Linked DNA regions of Schizosaccharomyces pombe. Each later gene encodes a partner of the first gene's protein in a complex. Each region holds a gene or a part of one and is shown on either strand. Other genes may lie near its edges. A codon is read from its position in the direction of its gene.

What was found.
Region 2: the proteins of pcn1 (region 1) and spd1 are in contact, whole or in part, in a crystal structure (PDB 6QH1), measured with the Schizosaccharomyces pombe proteins. Residues at the interface, in NP_596504.1 of Schizosaccharomyces pombe: Met40 (codon at 4,513), His44 (codon at 4,525), Val45 (codon at 4,528), Ala46 (codon at 4,531), Leu47 (codon at 4,534), Leu126 (codon at 4,771), Gly127 (codon at 4,774), Pro129 (codon at 4,780), Ser208 (codon at 5,017), Asp232 (codon at 5,089), Val233 (codon at 5,092), Pro234 (codon at 5,095), Tyr249 (codon at 5,140), Leu250 (codon at 5,143), Ala251 (codon at 5,146), Pro252 (codon at 5,149), Lys253 (codon at 5,152); in NP_594981.1 of Schizosaccharomyces pombe: Ile29 (codon at 4,346), Gln30 (codon at 4,349), Gly31 (codon at 4,352), Ser32 (codon at 4,355), Leu33 (codon at 4,358), Met34 (codon at 4,361), Val36 (codon at 4,367), Met38 (codon at 4,373).

Annotation. Positions count from the first base shown.
Region 1 is NC_003423.3:3,612,401-3,619,621, forward strand, and holds pcn1 (DNA polymerase delta processivity factor), read left to right. Parts: upstream 1-4,194; 5' UTR 4,195-4,284; coding exon 4,285-4,365; intron 4,366-4,474; exon of another isoform or gene 4,475-4,476; coding exon 4,477-5,178; 3' UTR 5,179-5,445; downstream 5,446-7,221. Other genes in the region: heat shock protein Hsp104, read right to left, coding at 1-2,676.
Region 2 is NC_003424.3:5,408,228-5,414,869, forward strand, and holds spd1 (ribonucleotide reductase (RNR) inhibitor), read left to right. Parts: upstream 1-4,215; 5' UTR 4,216-4,261; coding exon 4,262-4,636; 3' UTR 4,637-4,992; downstream 4,993-6,642. Other genes in the region: histone lysine H3-K36 methyltransferase Set2, read right to left, coding at 191-2,587. UniProt on the Schizosaccharomyces pombe protein: Regulates the ribonucleotide reductase activity through its mediation of the nuclear localization of suc22, the small subunit of the ribonucleotide reductase. Delays the progression of the G1-S phase transition, thereby ensuring the G1 phase is complete.

The DNA.
Region 1 (7,221 bases):
CATGTCAATATCAGCAGAGCCGTTTGCATTAGCTTCATGATTTGGTTTGACAAATATCTTGCCATTTTGGACTACGACATGAGCAGTCTCCTTATCGCGAAGCTGGCCATTCAAAATTAAGACAGCCATGGGATTCAAAACTTGATTTTGAATGACACGGTTCAAAGGTCTTGCACCATAAGCAGGGGAATAACCAGCGCTTCCAAGAAGGTCTTTAGCTTCGTCGCTAACCTCGATTTTAATTGAGCGATGATTGGATTGAAGCCGTTTCTGAACCTCTAATATACGATTTTCGACAATATTGCGGATATCCACACGACGCAGACGATTAAAGATAACGATTGAAGAGATACGATTCAAAAATTCGGGACGGAAGAAGCCACGAATCGAGTTCATAACCATTTCCCGAGTGGTACTATCTATCTTTCCATCATCAGACTCATTGTCTGTTGTCAAGTATTCAGCGCCCAAGTTAGAAGTCATAATGATAACAGCATTCTTGGCATCAACAACCTGGCCTTGGCCACTAGTGATACGTCCATCATCTAGTACCTGCAAAAGTACAGTCAATACTTCTGGAGCAGCCTTTTCAATCTCGTCAAACAAGATGACGGAGTAAGGTCGTCGACGAAGTTGTTCAGTAAGCTGTCCACCAGCTTCATGTCCAACATAACCGGGTGGTGCTCCAATGAGACGTGAAACAGAGTGTTTTTCCATGTATTCAGACATGTCAATACGAATCATTGCATTTTCATCATCAAACATAAATGATGCCAATGCCTTTGTCAATAAAGTCTTACCAGTACCGGAAGGACCGCAAAACAAGAAAGATGCGATTGGTTGATTAGGATCAGAAAGACCAGCACGAGATAAGCGAATGGCGTTTGCAACTGCAGTAACTGCTTCATTTTGACCAATTACTTGTTTACTGAGAACCTTCTCCATGTTAAGGAGTCGTTCCTTTTCAGTTGTCTTCAAACGAGTAACCGGAATACCAGTCCACCTTGCAACGATTTCGTTGATTTGATCGGGCCCAACTACGTCAATAAGTAAAGGTTCTGAGCCTGGTTGAGCGTTTGCAATCGCTTCTGCATCAGCCTTTCTTTTTTGTTGCTCTAAATATTCAATACGTTTTTGCAAATCAGGAATACCATAGTATTTCAAATCAGCAGCAAGAGTGAAATCATTACGACGCTCGGCATCCTCAGCCTTAGCCTTCAACTCATCAAGACGACGCTTAGCATCTTGAAGTTCACTTCCACGAGACTTTTCTAATTCATACTTCTCACGAATAGGTCTTGTTTCTTCTTCCACTTGTTCAGCCTCTTTACGAGCAGCCTTGAGACGTTCTTTGGAAGCTTCGTCCTTCTCACGCTCTAAAGCACGAATTTCAACGCGGAGTTGTCGAAGCTTTCTCTCAAGGTTATCAAGAACTTCGGGCTGAGATTCACGAGTAACACGAACTGCAGCCGCAGCTTCATCGACCAAGTCGATGGCAGAATCTGGAAGACGACGAGAAGTTAGGTACCGGGAAGCGAGATGGGCAGCAGTAACCAAGGCACGGTCAGAGATAGTAACACCATGATGAACCTCATACTTTTCTTTAAGACCACGAAGGATAGAAATCGTATCTTCAATAGAAGGCTCTTTTACCAAGATGATTTGGAATCTACGTTCGAAAGCAGCATCTTTTTCGATGTATTTCTTGTATTCAGCCAAAGTAGTAGCACCAATACAGTGAAGCTTACCACGTGCAAGCATTGGCTTCAGCAAATTGGCAGCGTCCATGCCACCTTCACCACCGGAACCTGCGCCCATTAAAAGATGCATTTCATCTACGAATAAAATAATGGGAGTTTCACTTTCTTCAACTTCTTTTAAAACAGATTTGATACGCTCTTCAAATTCACCACGAAATTTGGAGCCGGCAACTAAGCTTCCGACGTCCAGGCTGAGAAGCTTACAATTCGAAAGATTAGCGGGGACATCATCGTCAATTATACGACGAGCAAGTCCTTCAGCAATGGAGGTCTTACCTACACCAGGCTCACCAATAAGAACTGGATTATTTTTCGTTCTTCTAGAAAGTACGCGAATTGTACGACGAATTTCATCTTCACGTCCGATAACTGGATCCAGTTGACCATTTCTAGCGAGCTCTGTAAGATCAACAGTAAATTTATTTAGTGCATCAAATCCTTCCTCGGCATTCTTTGAATCGATTCTTTTATTACCACGGACGTTATTTACAGCAAATTCAAACGCTTTCGGGGTGACACCGGCTTCTGCCAATAAACTCTTTAGCGTGTCGTCTTTAGTGAACACAGCGATAAAATGATCTTGAGCAATGTAAGAATCTTTTTGTGTTTTTTGAAGTTCATGAGCATTTCGCAGCAGTTTCGCACTTTCAGGTGACAGAGTCACTTGTTCTGGAGGTGGATCCTGAGCAGGCAAGCGAACTAACCGACTAGTAACACTTCGCTCAAACTTTTGACCATCACCACCAGCTTTGTCGACGATGGTGCGCAGTAAGGTAGTACCGTTACTGTCACTGTCGGACAAAAGAGCAGCAGCAATGTGAATAGGGGTTAATTGTGAATGACCATAAGATTGTGCAATTGAGTACGCATCAGACAATGTCTTTGCGGCTTTGTCAGTAAAAGGATAATCAGCCATATCGAGTTATATTATTATAGGAATTTTTATAATTTATAGATAAATCCAAAAAAAAGGAATTGTATATTTGTCGCTCGTTATAAAACAAAAAAGAGAGAGTCGTTGAACGGTAAATATATACGGTTTTCAGTTCGATTTAATAAGAACTTAATATCGTTATTATAATAAATTCTTCGGTTATAGATTGATGGTTGAGGATGCCGCAGGTAGAGAAGCTGTGCATATATATACACGATGATGTTACTATGGGAAGGAAAGGAACATACCAGAAGATGCCAGTTACATTGTTACTCGAACCTACTCCTACACTCTAGAAAAAGAAAGGGATAAAGTAGGGTAAATCCCAAAGACATGACTAGAAGATTTAAAAAAATAAGAGAAAAATAGCTTAAAAAAAAACCGGTGTAAATTAAAAATGCAGTTACCTTAAAAGTCTTTGAATTGTCTTTAAACATGGAATACTCGAAACCCGGAAATGATCTGCGTATTACGTAGTGTATGGAACAACGTAAAGACGGATACTAACCTCAACTTATTCTCAATTGCATCTTGCTAAATACCGTTAGAATTCATCAATGACTGAATAAATAATTTTTTGATACATAGTTCTTCTATTACAGAGATTCTAGTCATATTTCCAAGCTATTTCTAAGATAGAGCTCTTACATTACTTATTCTATACGGTAGCGATTATTCGTCGTAATGACATTTAACGAACTTTAGTTACTTGACCATAGTGGTTTATAAACTAAACAAACCAACAGTGAATTCTTGTTAACGTAACTGTAATCTACGAATATTGAGAAGAAAAAAAAACGAATGAATTTGTTGTGAATACATATTTTTTCCTTAGCGAACAAGTATACTTCATTCTTATTTTCATACCTCTTTAGTCTTATTTAAACCAGCAATAAAATTCGTTTTAAGTTTTCCGTGTTAATACCAATTAAAATAACGTTTTTTTCAATCATTTTATATGTCATTGCAACGTGAAAATAAGTTAATAAATTTCGGTAGCAGCTAATATGGAAAATGTACAATTTACTTGATACATTAGTGTAGCCTAAATTTTATTTGATCCTGGAAAGTATATTAAGGTAGAACGCGAAAGCTCTCCTAGTTTACGCCGTAAATTGTAATGACTCGCTGATTACATTTGGCTTATTATAATCCGTATAGCTAGAAAATTTCGATAACTGAATATTGCTTCTTTAAAAAGACATAAATAGAACCGTGAATTAGTACAGCAAACGAAAGATAAAAATTTCATAGTAACATGCAAATACTATTTTTTCAGTTAGTTTTCCATAATTTTGTATAATATTTCATATCAAACGCATCTAAAAAGTACGGACGAAATTACTTGCTATTGTAAAAATAAAAAAAATAACAAAACAAATTATAATAACGTGAACTGCTATTTTGGTCTCATATATGAAAGGTTCTTGAGATTTTTTACGTTGTCAGCTAGCAATTTTACGCACACTATTCTGTGCTACGCGCTCTTTGACTACTTCCCAAAAGCCAACTACAAAAGGTTTTTGCAGTAACCTTTGTTAGCTATTCTTTATATCTCTTATCTAGCTTGTATAAAATATAATTACGACTATGCTTGAAGCTAGATTTCAGCAGGCTGCTTTGTTGAAAAAGCTTCTCGATGCCATCAAGGAGTTAGTTACAGATGCTAATGTATGTAAGGGGCAGCATATAAATAAAGATGCTCAACGACAAAGCCTTTCTTTTTTTTAAAAAAAATATATTTATTAACTTCTTTTGAATGATTCTCTAACCTCATAACAGTTTGATTGCAATGACAACGGTATCTCTCTGCAGGCTATGGATAGTTCTCATGTAGCCCTTGTTTCTATGCTTATTAAATCAGATGGATTTGAACCATATCGGTGTGATAGAAATATTGCTTTAGGTATAAATCTGAACGCCTTATCAAAGGTCTTACGGTGTGCCCAAAACGAGGATTTGGTTACTTTAAAGGCTGAAGATACACCTGAGGTATTGAATTTGGTTTTCGAGAGCGAGAAAAATGACAGGATCTCTGATTATGATGTTAAATTAATGGACATTGATCAAGAACACTTGGGTATACCAGATATCGAATACGATGCTACTATTACTATGCCTGCTGCCGAATTTCAACGCATTACTCGAGATTTATTAACTTTGAGTGATTCAGTAACAATCAATGCTAGTAAAGAGGGTGTTCGTTTTAGCTGCAAGGGAGATATTGGTAATGGTAGTACCACGCTGAAACAACATACCGATCTTTCTGACCAAGATCAAAGTATCGAAATTTCTCTTACCCAAGCTGTAACACTTACGTTTTCTTTGAAATATTTAGCCCAGTTCACTAAGGCTACTCCTTTAGCTACCCGAGTCACACTTTCAATGAGCAATGATGTTCCACTTCTTGTGGAGTATAAAATGGAATCCGGATTTTTACGATTTTATCTTGCCCCAAAAATTGGTGAGGAGGATGAGGAGTAGATTACGGAATCAATATCTTTTAGTAATCTCTTTGCAATTGACGAGCTAGCATCATTATAAACATACTTTTGTTTACTTTTTAATTCAACCTTTTTTGTACTGCTCCTTCCCTAACATTCATATCCAAACAGGCAAAATACCAGCTTTTACTTAAAAAAAATCAAATTCTTTAGAACCAACAAACTGAAGGGTAGAAAAACTTGTGTTCTTAGTGATGATTTTTCACAGATAACTTCGTAATCATCTGCTGTAGCTTGTTGATTTAAGTCTAGTACATGATATAATACATTGATATGTAAATTAGCTTAATTCTGAGAATTTATTCTAACTGATAATTGTATACTTATATGGCTAACCGCGTAAGAGCCTCGGAGGGACAGTTCGCCCAAATACTACCAACGCTACCACCAGTAGCAGCAAGGCGTAAAAGTTACTTAAAGAAGATAGAATTCCTTACTCTCTATACTGCCAACTTTTCGTAATAATTTATATATTTTACTATTTGGCTATATTTGAAATTTTTAGCGTTGAATATACTATGGCAGGAGATAGTGTGAAAAGTGCAATCATTGGGATTGCTGGGGGTCCTTTTTCTGGAAAGGTATTTTATTAAAATATTTTTTTCTTAATTCTAATACTTTAATACTAGACACAACTCTGTGAGCAATTACTTGAACGTTTAAAGTCATCAGCACCTTCAACTTTTTCTAAATTGATCCATCTTACTTCATTTCTTTATCCCAATTCTGTCGACAGGTATGCACTTTCCTCTTACGATATTGAAGCGTTTAAAAAAGTTCTTTCTTTGATTTCTCAAGGAGCCGAGAAAATATGTTTGCCAGATGGTTCTTGTATAAAGCTACCTGTAGACCAGAATAGAATTATTCTAATCGAAGGTTACTATCTTCTTCTTCCCGAATTGCTGCCCTACTATACGTCTAAAATTTTTGTATATGAAGATGCAGATACTCGTTTGGAACGCTGCGTTTTACAGAGGGTCAAAGCAGAAAAAGGAGACTTAACCAAAGTTTTGAACGATGTAAGGGTTTTTCTTCTAGGTTTATTCTAATTTCTTTTAGTTTGTAACTTTGTCTAAACCTGCATACGACTCTTCGATTCATCCAGTATGTTAAACTCTTATTTGCTGTTGTATACTAATTATTGGAAGACTCGAGAGAACGCTGATATTATACTCCCTCAAAAAGAAAACATTGACACAGCCCTACTTTTTGTAAGCCAACATCTTCAAGATATCCTCGCGGAAATGAACAAAACAAGTTCATCAAATACGGTGAAATATGATACTCAGCATGAAACATATATGAAGTTGGCGCATGAAATGGTAAGCTCAATTTCCTACATATTAACAACTAAAAGTCCTAAATTTAGGCCCGTACTTCGTTATCCAACCGAGAAGTCCCGGTAGTTGCGTCTTTGTATATAAAGGAGAAGTAATAGGCCGTGGTTTTAATGAAACTAACTGCAGCCTCTCGGTAAGCCTTATTTTAATATGCCTTTGCTGACGATGATAAAGGGGATTCGACATGCTGAACTTATCGCTATAGAAAAAATTTTAGAACACTACCCAGCATCTGTTTTCAAAGAAACCACTTTATACGTGACTGTTGAACCGTGTCTAATGTGTGCTGCTGCATTAAAACAGCTTCACATAAAAGCCGTGTATTTTGGATGCGGCAACGATAGGTTTGGCGGATGTGGAAGCGTATTTTCCATTAACAAGGAGTATGTGAATTTATCAGTTCGTTTTTGCTTACGATTTATGACAGCCAATCTATTGATCCGAGCTATCCAGTTTATCCAGGGTTATTTTACTCTGAAGCTGTGATGTTAATGCGCGAATTTTACGTTCAAGAAAATGTAAAAGCACCAGTGCCACAAAGTAAAAAACAACGAGTATTGAAGCGCGAAGTTAAAAGTTTGGATTTATCTCGTTTCAAATAATTATATTAGAAGTCTAATTTTCTGTGGTTTCAGGTAGGGTTATAATAAAGGTTCTTAGGTCGATGCGTCAGTATCAATCAT
Region 2 (6,642 bases), on another chromosome or scaffold:
GACGTGCATTTAGACACAAATACGGCTTCTATGTCTGGAAATTAAAGATTGTATTTAAAAAAAAAAATAGTATTAAAATATTACATCAAGGAAGAAAAAAAAAACTAGACACCAGGTATTAAAGACATGCAATATTTGGAACTATAGTATGGTAGACGTTGCTACTTGTCGCAGTTAAAAATACTGGCGATTAAGCAGCTTTTTTCGGGGATTCGCCAATACTGGGTGAATCTGTAGGAGTTGTAGTCGCAGTGCCAGAACGCGATACAACTGTGTCCAAATATCGAAATGCCCAAACTCTCAGCTTTCGCTGCTGAGAGTCTGATAATTCATCTGGTAAAGCTTTTTCTTTTTTGGATAGAACTAACTGAATATGCTTTTTCAAGATAATTTCAGTCATTTTCTTTACTCTCAATTTAAATTCAGCTTTACCAAGCTTCTCTTGGTATCTAGCTGTTTTGTTAGCAAAAAATTTTGCCAAAACTGCCTTAAAAGCAATGCTTTCAGGACTATGCGAAGTTAAATGATGATCAATTGTGGCATCCTGAGAGCTTTTCGTCTTCTTTTCATGCAACTTTTTGGCATGTCTTTTCAAACTTTCTTCGTAAGCAAGACGTCTCTTTTCTTCTCTTTTCTGCTGAGCTATTCTTTCTTCTTCCTCCTTCTGTGCCTTCAACACATTTTTCTGATTGACACTCTCCATTGCCGCTGAAATAATCTTGTTTAAATCTACTTTATTAGCTTGATTGCTGACTTGTTCTTGCTCATTATTTGGTGTAGTTGTTTCAGAAGGAGTGTCAGAGTTAGAAAGACGACGACGTTTAGGGAAAGAATTTTTACGAAAAAGGTTGTGTTTTGAATGGCTTTGATAGTCATTTCCAAACTTGGAACGTGAACGACTATCACTAGGCCTAGAAGAATGTAATGCTGGATGTTTCTTGCTCAAATCTTCTGTTGAATTATTGATTGCAGATTTTATATCTCCCTTATCGCCACGTTGTGGTTCCTGATCCCTTAAAGGAGGATTACTTTGATTATTGGAGGGTTCTGCGTTCGTTGACTGTGGAGCAACTTGACCAGGCTTCCTTCGGGGAATTCGATAAGCTATCTCCAAAGATTCCCATTCTTTTAAAAGAGTTTTGGCATGATCTTTGACCTCCTCGTTCTCATGGTCGCAAAACTCTTGAACAACGGGCTCAATATTTGAATCTTGGATTTTATTTCTTGTTAGGCGTGGCCAAGATAACATGGTTTTTATAGAACGTAGTATAAACTCAATATCAATGCTGAACTTCTTCAGCATCAAACCAAAAATGTTGTAACCACGTAACGCAATGATCGAACGGCATACACTAGGATCTGAAGTCAAGAAAATGCGTTCCATTAACTTTCTTGTTAATAAGTCATCCTTAGTTTGCAGGAGAACGCCAATCACTTTAGTAGCAGACTCAGATGTCAGAGGAGTAGGTTGCACCTCTTCAATAATTTTGCTAGTTTCGTCAATTCCCTTTTTACGACGTTGTCGACGTGCAGTGATGTTTTCCCAGCTATCCTCTTCATCTTCAATACCAAGAGCCTCTCGGACATTCTCAGGTAGTTTCGATTGAGCCTCAGTTTGCGTCTTTCCGCCAATATACCCTACACAGCAAGGTTCTCCGCAATAACAAGGTTGGGCTTGTGCACCATATCTATCGACATTATAGTCAAAAGTAAGCTCTTCACCGCGAATAATATCTCTTTTACAAAATATACCCATTCTTAGCTTATCTCCTACCATCCATTTATCAACATAACAATTAGGTCTACAAGAGTGATTGCAAAATCTTGCGAGCGACCCCCTTTTAGTAGCATCAATATATTCCCCCTTTTGCAGCATCATGAAGTAAAAGTGTTTAATTCCCTCACTATCGTATTGTCGCATACGTTTACGAAACTTTTGTTCAGGTATAACTTCTCCAATGTATTCGTAGACAAATGTGTCTTTGGGTAAATTGGCATCAGCGCGCAAACCAAACCCTTTCTTTTCGGTTAAGAAAACATCCACCTTTGCAAATTCATGTCTTTGAAAGCGTTGGTTTTGACAGGATGGTCCACAAACGTTATCTTCGTCCGTACACTCTATAGAAGTCATTCTATTAATACAATTGGATCCGTGCCCACAAGCAACATTAACTCCATCTACCCAATGAGGCCGACAATCGCAAATCATAGCTTCGTTTTCTGGAGGCTTACCAATATTGGCGGAAGCATACTGACATTCTTGAATCTCTTCGAACGTAGTTAGCGCCTTATCTTTCGCAGAATCCAGGTGATGAAAAAGTTGAGGAGGAAGTGCCTCTTTTCTAACATATTTGCTTTGAGACCGAGAGGATGCAGACGATGGCGAGGACGTAGAAGGGGAAGGAGCACTTTCGTCTTTATTCATCCCTTCGGCATCCTCTTTACTTTCGAAATCATGAGATGACGAAGAAGATGGTGATGAACCGACTGCCTGGACAGCGATTGTGTCTTTTGACCAAGAAGACTTCCTATCAACGTTTTCCTCATTCAAAGGAGTTAAAACAGAAAGAGATGATGCCGTCTGCATTGTATGATAATGGACAAAAAGAAAGAGAAAGTTAAAAAATCTACAGTTTTATTGAACAAAAAGTAATTGCCGAAGGAAGCCAAAACAATAGAAAGAAGACCAGCTGAAATTTCACCGAAAATCTTCTTTTTAGAAAATTTCCGAAAATATCTCGATGCGTAACATATAGATCTTCTAACGTTTCAAAGTTTCGTGTCAAAGAAACAGTGAGATCAGGAAATTGTCTCAAGGAAGAAGTTGTGGCTGTTGGCGGCGTTCCTTCTTTACTCGCGGAATCCTCGTAGGGGCTCACAGTACCGGAGTGTAAACGACAACTCTTGACTTTAGTGTTAAATATTAAAGAAACCTATTAAAAGAAAAGGCTTTAAAATCTTTACTTTCATTTCATTCAAGCATCTACAAAAAATCACCATCACGCGCAACATTTGAATGCCATTCTTTTCCAGAAATTCCATAATAGTTGTTGAAGAAATAACACTGTTAGTGTAATAAAATTCACTCTGTTTTTTACACTCGGCGCCTTATGTAGCGAATATCTTTGAATTAATAATATCAATCATACTATGTAACTGTAGTAGGTTGTTTATCCAAAAAACATATGGTACGCAAAGATAGACACTAATTATCAACAATGAATGAATAAGAAAAGCTTTTTCAACGAATATTTTGAGTGAGGCAGTCAGCGTGCTCATACTGGATAGACCCAGAACAAGTAAGTTTACAATATGTTCAATTTACAAATCCAAGCATGTGGTATTGAATTATATTTGGTATTCTTTTTGTTCCCTTGGTCTTATTAATGTAAAATCATCATCTACCTGCATCTATTGAAGCAGTAATTAAACAGAAGTTTGAGAATCGGTAAAGAAAGAAACTAGGAATGTATGTAATAAAGTCATTTTATTTTGAAAATGCTCATCCTGTTAATTCTAGGTAGATTCTTTATTTCTTCAAACCCAACCACTTTTGTTAATATTGTTTAAACACATAATATATACATTGGCGAAATTGAAATAATGCTAAAATTTTGTCAGAGCATTAGTCATTGTTAATTTTAAAAAGCTATTAAACAAAAATAAAGGCTAAGAAAAAAAGATAAACCTATTCCATATGTTTATATATGTGTATCTTATCTTAAAAGGTCTTTAACTCAAGCTATACTTACTACAATCTATATGCAGCTACTTGTCCTTCATGGCACGACGGTGCCAGTAAAGTTAATAAGAAAACCATACCGAACAGGGGCCAAGTTACGATGAGACAACATGTGAAGAACAAAGGAAGAAGCGATTTCAAGCTTTGCAAAAGGTTTGACCAAATTTAACGAACAAACGTTTCAGCTGTTACCTTGAAAGCAGTTGGCAATAAAAGAGAAAGCGAATTTAATTGCTTTAAATGTTTTACTTTAACTCTTAGATATAAAGAGTGCGGAAAAAGTGGCAGAACCACAAGAAAACAAGATCTCAATCGCAAAAGCAATAAAACTGCAATTCCAAATTTTGTAGATTTTCTACCATTTATGAATAACGTGGGTTAGTGAAATGTAAAGAGATCCGTGTTCGATAGGCATTCCCCAGACAAATTTGACTGCTTTAAACGTCACAAAGCCGAGTAGCAAACGCTCCCACAACCAAACACTACACAAAGGTTCGTCGACAATTTATTTTGGAAAAAATGCACAGCAGCAAGCGAGTTATGACCACAAAGACTCATGTTGAGCAGCCTGAGTCTTCAATGCGTCCTCAGCTTCCCGAAAGCATTCAAGGCTCCTTAATGGACGTGGGAATGCGGGTTCGTAAATCAATTTCCACCGGATACAAGTCGAAACAAACCACGTTTCCTGCCTATAACCCACCGCTTTACAACACTGTTTCTGAAAACATTGCTTTAAAAAATACCGCATTTTCTTATGAGCCTAACGGTACTAAGCGTCCATTCGAGCAAGCAATTCCTAATTATAACTGGGCCAATCCTCCTCAAGACTTTGAAGAACCGGAATGGTTGAAGCCGTTTGACGTTGTCATGGAGGGTACCAATGAGAGATTATAAGCTAAATGTGAATCTCGTATATCTCTTCTTTAAGGATAATTTGACACCAATCCTCATAGTTCCAATTATTCCTTCGTTCATTAGTCTTTGACTTTGTTGATTCCCTATACCATTAATACATTTTATTATTGGTTTTGTGAGTGACGGCTAAGTGATTTTCTACTAATTAAACCCCCTCTTCTTTTGGGCATTTGTCTCTCCTTGTTAATTAAACTCTTTACATCTATGAATGATCTAGTCATATCTTTTTTTATTTTATCTTATTTGCTTATCGTTTTCTGCTTGACCAACTTATAATGGATTACTTTGTTGTCGTTGAATATCTGAATAGTAATTTTTTTCTAATACGTACATAATTTTTTGAAAGACTCATTCCTCGTATTTCCTCAGTAAATGTCACTTTTTTGGTGTACATGTAGATCGACCAAAGTAACCTGTTGCGGGCGACTTTTGTAACTTGTTATTTCTACTTTAAATCTTTTTCTTTTATGATGTTAGGGCGTTGGTAGGGGTTGTAACGTAAAAGGAAACAATTTTTGATATTTTCTCTACGGCATGTGAAAAGTATTACCCAACATGCCACGGAATTCTACGCTGTTTCAGTAATAAAATTTTATTATTATTATTATTATTATTTTTTTTTTGAAAAGATGTAATAAAATGCTTATATTTATAGATTACAAAGAGACAGTAATAACGTTACTCAGCTAACTAAAAAAGTGCAAACTAAACAGCGAATATGGCAAAAAACAGTCATATTTAAAAAAAAAATAATAATTTGAGAGGGAAAAATGGAATAATTTATTTAAAAACAAAAGATACCATAAAATCAATTAATCTACACATAAAATTTACAACTAGGATGTTATTTTGATAAAGTTTGTTGTAAATTTTTTGGTACTTCTACTCATCCGCTATTAGCTTGAAAAACAAAAGTAATTACTACCGCTTTATGGCCAACTAGTTTCATAGGGAGGATGACTGCATACAAAAACGCTGAAACCCTTTCAAATGAGTCTATAAGACAGCAGTGGAAAACGAGTATTTCAGTTTTTAGGTACATTGCAGTGTTATAAATAATATGTGTTTCTTTTCAGATTTTTTTTACTAGTCAGTTATTGTTATACCAATCAATTCCTGGTATGTTTATATTAAACAACAAACAGGACACGAGGAGTCCTTGAAGTATTACTACATTTCCAGTTCAACGATCTTGTTTCAAGGTAAACAATGTTAAACATTACTGCATAACAAAAATCTAATGACAATTGAAGCAGCGTATATAAAGCGATGCATAAAGCCCTTGTTAGGAAAGGCTCTACTTGCGGCTTCTTAATTAGTATTGATAAAATCTATTTCCATGGACATGCAAATATCTCGCAAGATGGATACATCGATCATTCTTCGGCGACTTGGATACCTCAGTCCCCACAAAATAAGATAAAGAATATTGGGTGTCGGTAGTCAGTATCCTAATCCATCAAAAAATTACGGACATTGCAGACGCTGATCGGTAACATACCAAGAAATTATCTGGTAGAACGCTTATATCCATATTTCCGATGCAATCGGTTCACGCCTGTTACCATTGATCGCTAAAAAATGTATGCAACTTTCCATAAAGGTAGTAAAGACATGACTTATACGCCGGATATATGATGAGCAATTTCATTTAGTAATTCTTTATTGTTTTGTACGTTTTAAAAGTATGACGAAGCATCTCAAAAGTATGAATTGTCGGATAATTGCAGCATGTAAATAAATAGGAGGATTCTTTTATTAAAGTCGACTTTAGGAGAGAAACAGTTTTTGTGCTTTCCCTCCAAGCATAACAATTTGACGTTAGGTTTAGCAGGTCGTTTAGATAAAGAAAGACATCCGCCTCTTTGTAAATCGCTTCAACATCAATTGTAAGTTGCTTACATCTTCTACGCGCCTCCACTGTATACTTATCGGGATCAATCAAATGGTTTCGGACATTTACTTCCTAAAGTAGTGTATGCTAC